3 linked regions of the Arabidopsis thaliana genome follow. The protein of the gene in region 2 interacts with the protein of the main gene of each other region in a biochemical or structural test. Each region holds a gene or a part of one and is shown on either strand. Other genes may lie near its edges.

Region 1 (5,373 bases), on a different chromosome or scaffold from region 2:
GGAGCTTAACTCCTACAAACATGGAATCATGGAAAAGTGACTTTAGTGGAATACTCCACATTATTAGCAATGAAACAGAAATGCGAGAGACTTAGTCAAGTCATGACCAAGTCCTTAATCGTATCTTGGATTGGGCTTGCGCAGACGTTTGGGCCGAACGTTGATGTTGGGCTGAATGTCCTCATCATGCTATGCCTCATAACTCATTCCTCAAAGCTTTCTTCTAATCATAATTTATTTGTTTTTTGTTTTTTTAATTTGCATCGTGAGGTCTTCTTTTTGATCCAATCAATGGACCTCTTTCTAAGAGTTCAACTACTCTTAACAACTTTAGGTCTTCTAGACACATAGAAAGTAATAAATATATATGGGCATGACACTAAGGTTTCATTCTTTTTCTTTATTGTGGTTTAGGTTTTTGATCTAATTTTGTTATTGTAAGAATTATTTTGTAATTTTGTTATTATCTTACCATGGAATTAAGAAAAAGTAAATTTCTTCAAACTTACCCTGTTGTTGCAACTTACATATTAAACTCTCTCTTTTTTGTTAAAAAAAGGTTATATATCTTTTAACCTTCTAGGATTTTAGCCTAGCTGAAAAAAAGTTACACATTAAACTTGTTTTTGTTAACAACGTTTTAGCATTTCGGTTGTGTGTTGTTTCTTCCGGTTGTTATAGTTTCGTACTTTCGTTGGTTTTGAGTTTTGGATTCTTGAAAGGTGGTTATAATTTATACATTTTGTTTCTACACGACCTTAAAGAAGTAACTTCAATTAATTAAATCTAATTCGGGAAAGAGCACGTCTCAAAAGAGTCGTCGAGTCCCATGTGAATTCTATATGATAACATTAAACAAAATCACGGTTCCATATTTGTTTAATACTAGTATGTATTGCAGAGTAGACTTTCCTAATCCAGTAGATTCTTAAAGAAAAAATAATATAAAAAGATTGAAAATAGAAATAAAAGATGGGAGACACGAAGGGTCACTTGTATTGTACCGAGTCCAAATGTAAAGAAGTCTCAATAATGGTGTAATAAAATAAAGAAGTTGAAGACAAGATCACAATCACCATGTGAAGATCAACACACAAGATCATAATTTTATTGTATGTTTGCTTCATTTCAACTTTTTTAAATATTGTTAAGAGGGCAGGCATTGAGTGCGCCACGTGGCAAATGACCATCCCTTTGTAGGTGCAGCAAACGTGATAAAGATTCCGGACTGTTCACCCATTCCCTTCTTCCATTTGTTTCTTATTTTTTCTTACAAATCTTATCGTATCATAATTTTTTTTCCATAATGCGCTCCCTTGAATGGAATAACGTTGGTTATTTTGTTTCCAACCAAATTTTCATACCATTCGATCAAATAGGTGCATCAACTTACAAGAAATGAAAGTGTGATCCCTATTTTATTAGGTAGCTAAGTAAGTGTTAGTGAACACTACGTTAGATTGTTACTCAAATAACGGATCAACGAATCTCGTATTCATTACTATACTGCTAATGAATGCATCAATTTTAATTTTTATTGGTTATCTATCCTTAAAAAAAAGTTATAAGAATATTTTGATAATTTGTTCCAAGATGTAGTACTAGTAGTAGTACTTGGTCTCGTAAACGACGACGCCGTTTAGGAAATCAAACGGCCAAAAATGCTTCCACTTTGCGAAATTTTATTGGTGGGAAACGCAAATGTATCGATAATGATTTAAAGAAAAAGCGGCGTTTCTAATTGGACCACGTTGCCCAATCTCTACGGCTCACGCACGATCTGACGTCAAATTGGCATAATACTATAATAACCTTATCGAGAATAAAATAATAGTCGCATCCAAACAAAAGAAACCAACCCTTTTATATCACGACGAGTGTCACGCCATGGACACTTGTCCATCTCTCTCGCTCTGACCCCTTTCAGGTATCTTTTATTTCTCAAAGAGGAATTATTGATTTTCCATTTCCAAAGAAAAAAAATAAATTCGAAGGTCAGGAAAATTAACAAAAAACTTCCTTTTTTTTTTTGTTAGTTTGTGTGACTGAGCTGCTTCATTTTTTTTCTTTCTTTTTTTTTTTGGTTTGATGAATCGATTTTTGTTGTCTATTACTGATTGGTTTTCTTGTTCAGATTCACTGATTCGAAGAGAATCATGATTTTTTTTTCCCGCTGAATAATAAGCATATGATTGGGTGTTTTGGAGATTTGTTTACTGATTAAAAGGAGATTCCTTTCCATTTTCACCATTTGCTCTGTTTGACTTCATTGTGCTTATATTTCATTTAGATCTTTTGTTTGGGTTTAGCTTTGGAACTGATAAAAATCTGATTTTGTCTCACGGCTTTGGATTTGGTTCTTAAATTTTGGTACTTTAAAACTGGATAAAGATCAGTGCTTTTTTAGATTCTTCGTTTGTTGATGAATTTATGGATGTATGTATAATTAAACCATAATCTCTCTGCTTGTTTGTTTTCTTATAGGTAAATATCCAGAAGCTTGATCCTCCTAGTTGTACGAAAGCTTGAGTAATGGGGTCTAGATTAAACTTCAAGAGCTTTGTTGATGGTGTGAGTGAGCAGCAGCCAACGGTGGGGACTAGTCTTCCATTGACTAGGCAGAACTCTGTGTTCTCGTTAACCTTTGATGAGTTTCAGAACTCATGGGGTGGTGGAATTGGGAAAGATTTTGGGTCTATGAACATGGATGAGCTCTTGAAGAACATTTGGACTGCAGAGGAAAGTCATTCAATGATGGGAAACAATACCAGTTACACCAACATCAGCAATGGTAATAGTGGAAACACTGTTATTAACGGCGGTGGTAACAACATTGGTGGGTTAGCTGTTGGTGTGGGAGGAGAAAGTGGTGGTTTTTTCACTGGTGGGAGTTTGCAGAGACAAGGTTCACTTACCTTGCCTCGGACGATTAGTCAGAAAAGGGTTGATGATGTCTGGAAGGAGCTGATGAAGGAGGATGACATTGGAAATGGTGTTGTTAATGGTGGGACAAGCGGAATTCCGCAGAGGCAACAAACGCTGGGAGAGATGACTTTGGAGGAGTTTTTGGTCAGGGCTGGTGTGGTTAGGGAAGAACCTCAACCGGTGGAGAGTGTAACTAACTTCAATGGCGGATTCTATGGATTTGGCAGTAATGGAGGTCTTGGGACAGCTAGTAATGGGTTTGTTGCAAACCAACCTCAAGATTTGTCAGGAAATGGAGTAGCGGTGAGACAGGATCTGCTGACTGCTCAAACTCAGCCACTACAGATGCAGCAGCCACAGATGGTGCAGCAGCCACAGATGGTGCAGCAGCCGCAACAACTGATACAGACGCAGGAGAGGCCTTTTCCCAAACAGACCACTATAGCATTTTCCAACACTGTTGATGTGGTTAACCGTTCTCAACCTGCAACACAGGTGACTAAAGAACCTAAGCTACTACATTTTGTAGGAAATACAATCATCTGAAAAATATTAGACGTAGCCTTCATGTTTTAAGATAAGCTGGTTTTGGATATGCATGTATGTTTCAGTTATCTGAGCATGACTTGTTTTTACTTTTTTCGCAGTGCCAGGAAGTGAAGCCTTCAATACTTGGAATTCATAACCATCCTATGAACAACAATCTACTGCAAGCTGTCGATTTTAAAACAGGAGTAACGGTTGCAGCAGTATCTCCTGGAAGCCAGATGTCACCTGATCTGACTCCAAAGAGCGCCCTGGATGCATCTTTGTCCCCTGTTCCTTACATGTTTGGGCGAGTGAGAAAAACAGGTGCAGTTCTGGAGAAAGTGATTGAGAGAAGGCAAAAAAGGATGATAAAGAATAGGGAATCAGCTGCAAGATCCCGCGCTCGCAAGCAAGTGAGTGTTTGTTTAAATTTTGGAGATTAAAGAAACCTTAAAACTGTGACCATGTTATTTACTTTTTCACTTTCTTGCTTGACAGGCTTATACGATGGAACTGGAAGCAGAAATTGCGCAACTCAAAGAATTGAATGAAGAGTTGCAGAAGAAACAAGTGTGTCTCGCTTCTTCCCTATCACAATTAAGAATCTCGAGATTTTCATATTTTCTTGAGGTTGTATTCACTGACCAAATGTTTCATGCAGGTTGAAATCATGGAAAAGCAGAAAAATCAGGTACTGTCTTGATTTGAATATCCTCTATGGTTGTTGGCTAGGCTTTTAACTCTCACTCATAATGAATTACACTTTTGGACAGTATTCTAAGCTTTTGAGTAGAATAGTGTAAGCTATACCATGAAGTGAGACATATCATCACATTTTTGATTTCCCACTCTGCATAAAGTATTTAAGATTTGTGAATATGTTGCAATGCCAATTTGGATATTTCATGAGACTAATCTGACGAGCATGGATTTAACGGAAGTTGGCTCATTTGTTGTTGCAGCTTCTGGAGCCTCTGCGCCAGCCATGGGGAATGGGATGCAAAAGGCAATGCTTGCGAAGGACATTGACGGGTCCCTGGTAGAGCTTATAATGGCGTCTAAGGAACCCAACAAAGCGCCGAAGTTATAGAACAACTCAGAAGATAGAAAGCTAGCTTTGTACGTAGTTTAGGCAGGTTCTGTGGGTGATTGTAAATCTTGAAGTGTGGCGGATTTGACAGAGATAGATAAACACATATCTGTTCTATTTTCCTAAATCTTTTGGTTTTATCTTCCTGATGTAATGGATCTTTATCATTTGTCTTGAACATCTTTGTGACTTAACCAGAGTGAATTTATCTTGTATCTTGTCTGCAATTTTTTCTTTAGCTCATTTGGGCCCAAGTCAACACCTTTATTATAGAAGAGAGTAAACATCAAGTTTAGCATCAACATCTGGTAATCCAACTGGGCGTACAAAATTAGATACACATACTAAATTGGCAAAATTCTTGCAGATAGCATCCCGCTTCAGGATAAGGTGCATCAACGTTGAACAGATGATACTTGTGAAAAGTCTCTGGAGTTGAGGTGGTTTGATACCATCGGACCGTTATACTTCGGTTTAAGATCAGTAATGAGACATCTTCTAACTGTGTTTCTTGAACAAGATGCTTTCAAACGGTTACTGCCTTGGATACTCATGCACAAGCCCTTCTGAAACACTCCTTGCTCTAGCATGTCCGAACAGCTTGCTAACAATAGCCAGGGAAAATTTGGTAACAGTTGCGAGCCCCAAACTTGTAATCACGTTTCCATCTATAACAACTTCGGCTCCTTCGATCATTTGTTGATTCATAGGCTCGTCTGACTCTGAAGGATACACAGTCGTTCTCTTCTCCTAAAATAGGATTCCAATTGTTTATGGCGTTTGTCCATGTATATGACAAAGAAAAGAACAATAGTTGTCTTCACCTTACC
Region 2 (4,321 bases):
AATGCTTCTTTAATCTTAGAGAATAACCCTTCACTTGATTTATCTTTCACTTCCAAAAATGTCAAATAAAACTCTTCAACCTTCGTTAACGTTGAAGAAATATTCACACATCGAATGATCATAGTCATCTGTTCTTTATGACTAATATCCGGAGTACAATCAAGAATTATGGAACAGTACTTTGAAGCATGTATTGTCTTCATGATCATAAGTCTAATCTCACCGGTCAAGATACCTATTAGCTCATTTTGAATCTTGTGACTTAAATAATGAGAATATATCTCAGCTGCACCAATTCTTCTGATATGCTCTCTCATTACGACATCAAATTCTGCAATCATTTCAATAAAACTCAAAAAATTCCCATTTCTGTCTTGGCCAACCTTTTCATTTTTTCCACGAAATGCTAAATTATTTTTAGCGTGAGTTTTCACCAATGCAATGATCCTTAGGAGTACTTCCCTCCAATGAATATTATCTTTGTTTATTGCTTCTTGGGCATGCTTATCAATCGTTTTATTTTTCTGTAGTCTAGACTCTAACTCAGCTCGACGAGTCATACAAGTAATGTGATCATGGCTGCCTTTGTGTTCTTTGAGTCGCTTTGAAAGATTTCTCCAATCATTGTACCCGCTAGTTGCCAAGTAACCACCTTTTTTGTCATGTCTCAACAACTTACAACAAAAACAAAAGACTTTAATCTAATGCTTTTGAGTAAATCAACCATCTTCTATCTTGTTTCTCCCCATTCCTCATTTCTCTTATGTAAAATGTTTGAGAAAAATGCCTACCAATACTATCTTTACGAAACCGGTAATTAGTTGATAACCTTGTCGCTAGACCCTTTTCAACTAATAAATCTCTGAATCTCATATTCATGTCATCCCAATTTACTGGATCGGAAATATTGGAAGGAAGTTCTTCTTTCTGCCCACTTTTCTTCTCTTCATGAACAACTTCATCTTGATCTTTGTTATCAAACTCATTCTCATCCACTTCATTCGTCATCCAAACTGTCCACATTATTGTTGTTATCAAGCATCTGCTTGGAGGAGCCAATGTAGGCATGTGCTCTCTCTTCTTGTTATCAAGCATCTGCTTGTGATATTTTTGTACAATTAAGCTAACATAACTTTAACAAAAAAAATCTGTAATAATAAGTTTATATGTACAATCTAATTCCAACAAATCAAATACTAAACTAAATATCATTGATCAACTAATTTTTTTATTTCCTAAGAACATATCTCTTTAAAAGAATTGTTTGAAGTTTCTTCCATTAGAATAAGTCTTGTGAAAATTTTATTTATTACATCATTAAGTAAAACTTCTTTTAAATTAATAGGTTAAACAGTCTATATATATTTAGTTTTTTTTTTTGAAAAATAAAATAAATTGCATAAAATAAATTGGCACTAATTTTAAAATAAAACGTTCTAAAGATATTTTTTATACAATATATAATAATTAATAACCTAACAATTTCTTTCTTTTTTAACAAAACAATTTCAAAATTCAACTTAAAAAAAAAATTGCTCAATCAACAGAAATTACAAAATGCCAATATGGACGTAAAAGGTCCATTAAGGAATCAAAATACAACAAAGTAACTTTTTCCACATAAAAATAAACTAAGGGCATCTCCAACGCACAGATACAGTATGAGTTTCTCAATTCTATTTTTTTAATCAGTTAATAATAAATATATTATTTATTTAAATTTTATATTATAAAGACAAAATCTGACCAATCATAAATAACAAGGGGTTGAGTTGGGTTTCTCATAGTTTCTCATATGAGAAACGTTTCTCTTTCTTTCTCCACCTTTTTCATTACTTTTTATTTTTTTAATCTCCAGATACTCATTAAAAAACTGCTGTTGGAGATGACCTAAAAACCGACCCAAAAAGTATCAGAAAATTCCCGTGTACAAAATTTAATCCAACGGTCCTCCTTCCATCTCCTTTCGCAATCGTCGCTCCCCACTCAAACAAAAACCAAAAAAAACAAAACTATCTTTTAAACCCCAACAAAAAAAAAATTGAAATTCGAAAACAGAACAAAAAAAAAAATCTCTCTCAATCTCTCTCAGATCTGAATCCATCCATCACCGATCTCTAATGGCGGCACCACCAGCATCATCCTCGGCGAGGGAAGAGTTCGTGTACCTCGCAAAGCTCGCAGAGCAAGCGGAACGTTACGAAGAAATGGTTGAATTCATGGAAAAAGTCGCTGAAGCCGTTGACAAAGACGAACTCACCGTCGAAGAACGTAATCTCCTCTCCGTCGCTTACAAAAACGTAATCGGCGCTCGTCGTGCTTCCTGGAGAATCATCTCTTCCATTGAACAAAAAGAAGAGAGTCGTGGTAACGATGACCATGTGACCACGATCCGTGATTACAGAAGCAAGATCGAATCTGAGTTATCGAAAATCTGTGACGGTATTCTTAAGCTTCTTGATACTAGACTTGTTCCTGCTTCTGCTAATGGAGATTCTAAGGTTTTTTACCTTAAGATGAAGGGAGATTATCATAGGTATTTGGCTGAGTTTAAGACTGGTCAAGAGAGGAAAGATGCTGCTGAACATACTCTCACCGCTTACAAAGCTGCTCAGGTTTATTCTCCGATCTGGAATTTTGTTGGATCTCATTTCTAGGTTAAATCATGATTTGTGTGAATCTGTGTTTCTTTTGTTTGTTTGTAGGATATTGCTAATGCTGAATTGGCTCCAACGCATCCGATTCGTCTTGGTTTGGCTTTGAATTTCTCTGTGTTTTACTATGAGATTCTTAATTCTCCAGATCGTGCTTGTAATCTCGCTAAGCAGGTGATGAGAAAGTTTCTGATCTATTTGGGATTTGAGTCATTGTGTTGGTACTACTCTATGTGTATTGATATTGAGATATAACAGGCGTTTGATGAAGCCATTGCTGAGTTAGATACTCTTGGAGAGGAGTCATACAAGGATAGTACCTTGATCATGCAGCTTCTTCGTGACAATCTTACTCTCTGGACTTCTGACATGCAGGTAAACGATCGAAACGAAACCGTTCTTTGCTTCATCGAAACTGCTGATAATGGTTATGATAGAATAGTTTTGGAATTGTCCACCAACATAGTTCATTGCTGATAATGGATATGATAGATAGGCTTAGTGGCTCATGATGCTGGAATTGTGCACACACATTGTTCATAAGCTTTGAATCAGATGGTTTAGTTTTGCATTATGTATGATAATACTCTCATGAGCTTCTTGGTCTTGATCTCTGATTCTGTTGTGTTAATTTCGACGATTAATCAGGACGAAAGTCCGGAGGAGATTAAAGAAGCAGCAGCACCAAAGCCTGCTGAAGAACAGAAGGAGATCTAAGTTTGTGGTTTCTTTTTTCAGTATTCTTAAGTTATGCAATTATAATTATGTTTCTGCTTGGTGTTTATTTTCTAATCTTTCCTTTGCTATCCCCGAAGCTTCTAAGGCCGTCTAATTCTTGTCCTTTGTTTGCTTTTCTCAATCGTGGATGCTACTGGATTTCTGTTTTGTTTTACTTCTTCTCTTGATTGATTGCATTTCCCGGCTTATGCCTTGTACTTGAAACTCAGTTTTCTCTCTTATTAATGATTTGCCATTCACCTGGTTATGCGTTTTTGTATACATGTGACTGCGTTTGCAATTGTGTTTTCTGAGTTTGCTTAGGTTATGCACACACAATTTACGCTGTTTGAGAATGAGCGCTTGCTAATACTGATACAGATTATTACAGGAAACACTGACCTCAAAATTTGCGTGAATTTCGATGAGATTTGCGTAGGAATAACAAGTGTTGGGCATATAGGTTTGAATCAAATGGGACTTACCAAAGTTTGTATCAACCTCGTTCACCAGTTATTGTTTTGCAGACCTCAACCAAAAGTTAACATGAACGAGGTCAATACCTCTCAAAAGCTGATTAATTGATAGCATCACTCATAGTAAGGTAGAGATTAATGTTCAAGAAAACGTTAGGCGTTAATTGGGCGGTAACCCAATGCAACGCTTCATCGGGTCTAAACAGTTTTAGGCGGTTAAAGCGTTTATAGTATAAAATATTATAAATATGTTATTATATGTAAAAGTTATTTAAAACATAAATTAAAAAATAAAAATCTTAAATTTACAAAACAAAAAATAGATAAAACGTACATTAATTCATATCAAACAACATTTGAACATTAAACTATATATATGAAGACAAAATTTAACAAATTTGAATTTGAGTAATTAAAATTTGGAAAAAAATATTAAAACGAAGCATATATAATCTTAGGCGGTCGAAACTGTCG
Region 3 (5,719 bases), 260 kb from region 2:
TAGTGATCTTAATTGGCTTATCTCTTGTCGATCTCCAAGGCTTTTGTCTTGTCCCTAGTGCATTTGCTATCTCGGTTTGGTTGGTGAGGTGTGATGGTGTTTGTATTTGTGTCTCTCGTTCTGGTGGCTTCTTGCTTTCCTCCCTGTCGGATTGCTACTGGTTTGACTTCGGTGTGAAATCTTTCCGATCTTATTGGTGCTTCCGACGTTCACCGTTTCTTTGGGGAAGCTTTGTGAGAGCTTTTGGTTCCTTTGCGCAATTTTAGTGCTTAAATCTTCGTTTTTTCTTAACGGTTGATTTTTTTTAGATATTTGTTTCTTTGTTTTCATTGCTGGTCTAAATAGTTTCTCCGTTTCTTTGGGGCTTAGCTACCCTCTTTTAAGCTTAATTTCTCGAGACATTTTGTTGGTCTGCCGGCTTTTATATTTGAAATGGTATCCTACTTTGGTTTCTTAATAAAATTCTGGCGACAAAATTTTTTTTTTTCGAAAGATCTTGTCATAAATATTTCCTACTGCCTTTTGCAATACGTTACAATGTTGACAATTAGTAAAATTCCTCATTTTTTCCTTAAGAAAATATATAATACCAAATGATGATGATTCCACGTATAGATGTCTATCTCATTGCGATACTATATTAATATAAATCAATTTCTTCCAATTTCTGACCATCATATTAGTATTATATTGACTTTTATATTTGGTCTGCATTAATTATATGTTCCCCATAAATAGTTAGCAAATCCGGTTCGGATATGTAGGTCCAAAGCCTTTTGTATTTTTATCCACGCAAATTTTTCTTGAATCGTACGTAAATATTGAATTCCACGTTTCCATATACAAAACCAAATCAAATATAATTACTTTTACAACAACCCCATTTACGATTTGAGAAACAAAAACGTAAATAACTTACGAATTTTCATGTTCTTGAATCTTTTCAGCAGGAAAATAGTAAAATAACTCAATGTTTTTATGGAATAATTAAAAAAGAAATAGAGAAAACTGTTTAATTTTCAAATTATTCCAAATTTTGTTAGAAAAGAAGTTGACCTTGAATATCTAGTTTGATTCTCTATTTGAGATAGCTATTTATCCCTTTTAGTTTTTAGGTTCATAAAAATGTACAGTTTTGTACTTTGCACATTATCAAAAATGTAGAAGAAAAGTAAATTATTGATTTGATTGGTGACTTAAAATTATATAAATTTGTTTTACAGATAAAAAAACTATAAACAATACCAAAATAATTAAAAATAATACTAATAAAAATTAGAAAATAACGACTTTACATGATATTTTTGGATATCAGCTTTGAATGGTAATTCATTATCAAAACACTACAGTTTGTATATGTTTGACAATTATCATTCACAAAATTTTTATCAAAAACATTACAAAAATTTTTAGTAGAAAACTTTATTATACAACTTTCTCTGCTTATTTTTTTACAGTTTTACACTATTTTTAAAGCTCTTATAATTGTAGTTAACATCAAAAAAATTTGTACAAATTTGTATTACCAATCGGACTCATTATTTTTGCGATTAGTAATAACTAAAGAGGTATTAGTCCGATTCGGATCTAATATTGGACTTAAGACATTGGAACTTGGGACGACCTCGAATAAACCCTAACAACTTGGAGAGATAAATACATTTAGAGGCTGTCAATTTTCTAAAAAATTAATACAAAAATCATAGTAAATATATTATTATTAAATACCTAGTAAATGTACTGTCCACCTAACACTTCAAAAAAAGTTTGGTGTATCGGTCAAAAAAAAAAACTGGGCAACCGATAAAACAAGTTTCCAAGAAGAAAAACACAAACGCCAAATCAGCCCAAGTCACAAATCCGTCGTCGTTTAGTCCACGTAGACTTCACAAAGTCTACCTTTTTCACCGGTTATAACCGGTAAACTAAAATTCTCCTCTCTTTTACCAGTCCCGTTGAAACTCCGTTAAACTTTTCCGTTTCTCCGTCATTATAAATATCAATCTTCTTCACTCTATCGTTTTTTTTTTTTCCTTCTTCTTCCCTCTCCTATAAATCTCTCCGTCTTCTCTCTTCTCTCATTTCACGTCGGAGATCATTTTCTCCTCCTCCGCCTCCGCCTCCACCGCCACCGCCACCGCCGCCGCCGACGACTTTTCTCACTTACTCAACACCAGAGGTCTCTCTCTCACTGTTTCTTCTTCTCCTTTCTTTCGATTTCGTTTGGTAGATTTTTAGATCTGATTTTTTTCTGGTCTCTGTAGCTTTACTTGAAGTTGACTCTGTTTCTCGTTATAGATCTTGATCTGTTTATGATTTCGAATAAGAACAGCTTCAAGCATAATTTTATATTCGAATAAAAATTAGATGCAATGTGTTTATTTCGCGTGTTCCAACTACACGAGTTTTTTTTTTTTTTTTGGATTAGGAGTTATAACAATCTCATTGATCTTATTGTTTTGATTTTAGATCTTGGTTTAGTGTTATAATGGAAGGTGTTGGACTAAGAGCTGTAGGATCACACTGTTCTTTATCTGAGATGGATGATCTTGATTTGACTCGAGCTTTGGATAAACCAAGATTGAAGATCGAAAGGAAGAGATCGTTTGATGAAAGATCGATGAGTGAGCTATCGACTGGTTACAGTAGACATGACGGTATACACGATTCGCCGCGAGGTAGATCGGTGCTTGATACGCCTCTTTCTTCTGCTAGAAACTCCTTTGAGCCTCATCCTATGATGGCTGAAGCTTGGGAGGCTTTAAGAAGGTCAATGGTCTTCTTCCGTGGTCAACCTGTTGGTACTCTTGCCGCGGTTGATAATACTACCGATGAAGTCTTGAACTATGATCAGGTAAAACTATCGAAAAGTTTTCATGGTTTTATCTCAAAACGTTTCAAAATGTTTTTTTTGCGGTTGTTGTAGGTGTTTGTGAGGGATTTTGTACCGAGTGCGTTGGCGTTTCTGATGAATGGAGAACCGGATATAGTGAAGCATTTTTTGCTTAAGACACTTCAGCTGCAAGGTTGGGAGAAACGTGTGGATCGGTTTAAGTTAGGAGAAGGTGTGATGCCTGCAAGTTTCAAGGTGCTTCATGATCCTATCCGTGAAACGGATAACATTGTTGCGGATTTCGGTGAGAGTGCTATTGGACGTGTGGCTCCTGTAGATTCAGGGTTCTGGTGGATTATTCTTCTTCGTGCTTATACCAAATCTACTGGAGATTTGACTCTCTCTGAGACACCAGAGTGTCAAAAGGGAATGAAACTGATCTTGTCTTTGTGCTTAGCTGAAGGGTTTGACACGTTTCCTACACTGCTTTGTGCTGATGGATGTTCCATGATTGATCGAAGAATGGTATTAAAAGCAATCTTTGATCGAAACTGATTGTTGTTTCTTGTTTTGTTTGGCTATTAAGATTGATTTCTTTTTTTTCCTGTATTTGAAGGGTGTTTATGGGTATCCCATTGAGATCCAAGCGTTGTTCTTCATGGCTTTGAGATCTGCTTTGTCGATGTTAAAGCCCGATGGAGATGGCAGAGAGGTCATTGAGAGGATCGTTAAGCGACTTCATGCCTTGAGCTTCCATATGCGCAATTACTTCTGGCTTGATCATCAGAACCTCAATGACATTTACAGGTATAGTTATTTCATTTGCTTTAGATGATATGTAGAGTCACAAAAGATCACTATAACTTATAGTACATTTGTTTAAAAAGGTTCAAGACTGAGGAATACTCTCACACGGCGGTGAACAAGTTCAATGTGATGCCTGATTCTATACCCGAGTGGGTTTTCGACTTCATGCCTCTCCGTGGAGGCTACTTTGTGGGAAACGTAGGACCTGCCCATATGGATTTCCGGTGGTTCGCACTCGGTAATTGTGTCTCCATACTTTCTTCATTGGCCACTCCAGATCAATCCATGGCCATTATGGACCTCCTTGAGCACCGGTGGGCAGAGCTTGTAGGTGAGATGCCTCTCAAGATTTGTTATCCATGCCTCGAGGGCCATGAGTGGCGCATCGTTACTGGCTGTGACCCCAAGAACACACGGTGGAGCTACCACAATGGTGGATCTTGGCCAGGTCTTTTTTCTTTCCCTGGAGACTGATTGCATGAGACATTTCTTATCTCGCTTAACTGAGATTTTCGCTAGACCTAGCCATTAGGGTTTTTTTCGGTTTGATTTGGGTTTCAATTTTTTTTTGTAGACTGGCATAAGAACAGAAATATTCATTTAAGATAGTTTAGCTAGATTTTAGTTATAAAAACTCAGTACTTAGTTTAGCTACAGTTTGGTTGTGGTTTGGATTATTCATATGAACGTATAGATACATTTTAGTTTGGTTCAACTTTTGTATCTTATGATCGCATTTCTTTCTTAAATATATACATTTGTGGCAACCTTTGATATATTTTGTTTTGAAATGTTTTGATAGATTGAATAATGAACATCATGTTGTGTAGTGTTAAATTTGTCAATAAAATTGAATACAGAATCTGACCGCCTTTTTGTTTCTCTGCTCAATGTACAGTTTTGCTGTGGCAGCTAACAGCAGCGTGCATTAAGACAGGGAGACCGCAGATCGCAAGACGCGCGGTTGACCTCATAGAATCGCGTCTTCACCGAGACTGTTGGCCAGAGTATTACGACGGTAAGCTCGGAAGGTACGTTGGAAAACAGGCAAGGAAATACCAGACTTGGTCAATCGCAGGTTACTTAGTGGCGAAAATGTTGCTAGAAGATCCTTCACACATTGGTATGATCTCTCTTGAAGAAGACAAACTCATGAAACCAGTCATCAAGCGATCTGCGTCTTGGCCACAACTCTGAAAAACCGCTTTAGGTTTTTGTTCCGGTTCTAATATTTGCCACGATATGATTTTTTGTTGTTGTTGTTTGTATGATAATGTTATTGAAAACTTGTGCGGGGACATAGACTTTTTATTGATTGCTTTCTTTCTTGCTTTGCAAGTAAGGAAAAAGAAAATGGGAAAAGCTCGTTTGCCGTTTTTATCGAAATTACACCTTTTTTTTTAATAATTTGCATTTTGGCGCTATTGCAATATGAATATCTTTCAATAAGCTGAAATGACCGATTCTTATTGGTGTAATAGGTGAAATTATCTTTATTATAATCATGATTTGAAGTTAGCCTCCACTCAAATTCAATACCAAAAGCCTCACTCATTTGGTCGATTGATTTCAGTACATATATAATTAGGATAATGTAACACTATTCTAAATTAAACTTATCCATATAATGAGTATTTTACTCTTACGGTAAAAGTGTATTTGAGTATAAATACTTTACAATGTACACATTAAACACTTAATGAGAAATAATACGATTCTGTTATTTTTACTTTCTCTTTTTTAACTCTTGTTTCTTCAGCTTGAGTTTGTTATAGAGGAGAAAGAATCCTAATATTGTATCAGAGCTTCTCCGATCATGAGCTTCTCTTCAATCGAAATTCGTTCTCATTCATCTCTTTCAATTTCTTTCTGATTCATGTTGTATCATTTTCCTCGCGATTCTTCAATTCGTGTTCGTGAGTGAAATCTGAGTTTCTTCATTTTCATTTTCTGACCTAATTGCTTCCGATTCTCTTCTAAATCTCTTTTCAAAGTAATCTCTATCATCTTTTGATCTTCTTTCAACTATGGAATCAAATCCATTTCGTCCATCTTTTCTTGATGCAACATCGAACAATT

Evidence for each region.
Region 1: the proteins of GF14 PHI (region 2) and ABF3 interact in a test that uses a peptide from one of them, tested with the Arabidopsis thaliana proteins (one study listed by BioGRID).
Region 3: the proteins of GF14 PHI (region 2) and CINV1 form a complex in vitro, tested with the Arabidopsis thaliana proteins (one study listed by BioGRID).

Annotation. Positions count from the first base shown.
Region 1 is NC_003075.7:16,293,476-16,298,848, forward strand, and holds ABF3 (abscisic acid responsive elements-binding factor 3), read left to right. Parts: upstream 1-1,858; 5' UTR 1,859-2,532; coding exon 2,533-3,420; intron 3,421-3,572; coding exon 3,573-3,866; intron 3,867-3,951; coding exon 3,952-4,023; coding exon of another isoform or gene 4,024-4,114; coding exon 4,115-4,144; intron 4,145-4,415; coding exon 4,416-4,496; 3' UTR 4,497-4,810; downstream 4,811-5,373. Other genes in the region: DJ1C (Class I glutamine amidotransferase-like superfamily protein), read right to left, coding at 5,078-5,293, 5,373-5,373. UniProt on the Arabidopsis thaliana protein: Binds to the ABA-responsive element (ABRE). Mediates stress-responsive ABA signaling.
Region 2 is NC_003070.9:12,865,144-12,869,464, forward strand, and holds GF14 PHI (GF14 protein phi chain), read left to right. Parts: upstream 1-1,982; 5' UTR 1,983-2,120; coding exon 2,121-2,615; intron 2,616-2,705; coding exon 2,706-2,828; intron 2,829-2,912; coding exon 2,913-3,029; intron 3,030-3,218; coding exon 3,219-3,371; 3' UTR 3,372-3,747; downstream 3,748-4,321. Other genes in the region: AT1G35150 (General transcription factor 2-related zinc finger protein), read right to left, coding at 1-666, 830-1,095. UniProt on the Arabidopsis thaliana protein: Is associated with a DNA binding complex that binds to the G box, a well-characterized cis-acting DNA regulatory element found in plant genes.
Region 3 is NC_003070.9:13,121,578-13,127,296, reverse strand, and holds CINV1 (cytosolic invertase 1), read left to right. Parts: upstream 1-1,968; 5' UTR 1,969-2,179; intron 2,180-2,469; 5' UTR 2,470-2,488; coding exon 2,489-2,854; intron 2,855-2,926; coding exon 2,927-3,358; intron 3,359-3,449; coding exon 3,450-3,640; intron 3,641-3,720; coding exon 3,721-4,088; coding exon of another isoform or gene 4,089-4,114; exon of another isoform or gene 4,115-4,538; coding exon 4,539-4,837; 3' UTR 4,838-5,215; downstream 5,216-5,719. UniProt on the Arabidopsis thaliana protein: Cytosolic invertase that specifically cleaves sucrose into glucose and fructose and is involved in the regulation of multiple tissue development including primary root elongation, root hair growth, leaf and silique development, and floral transition.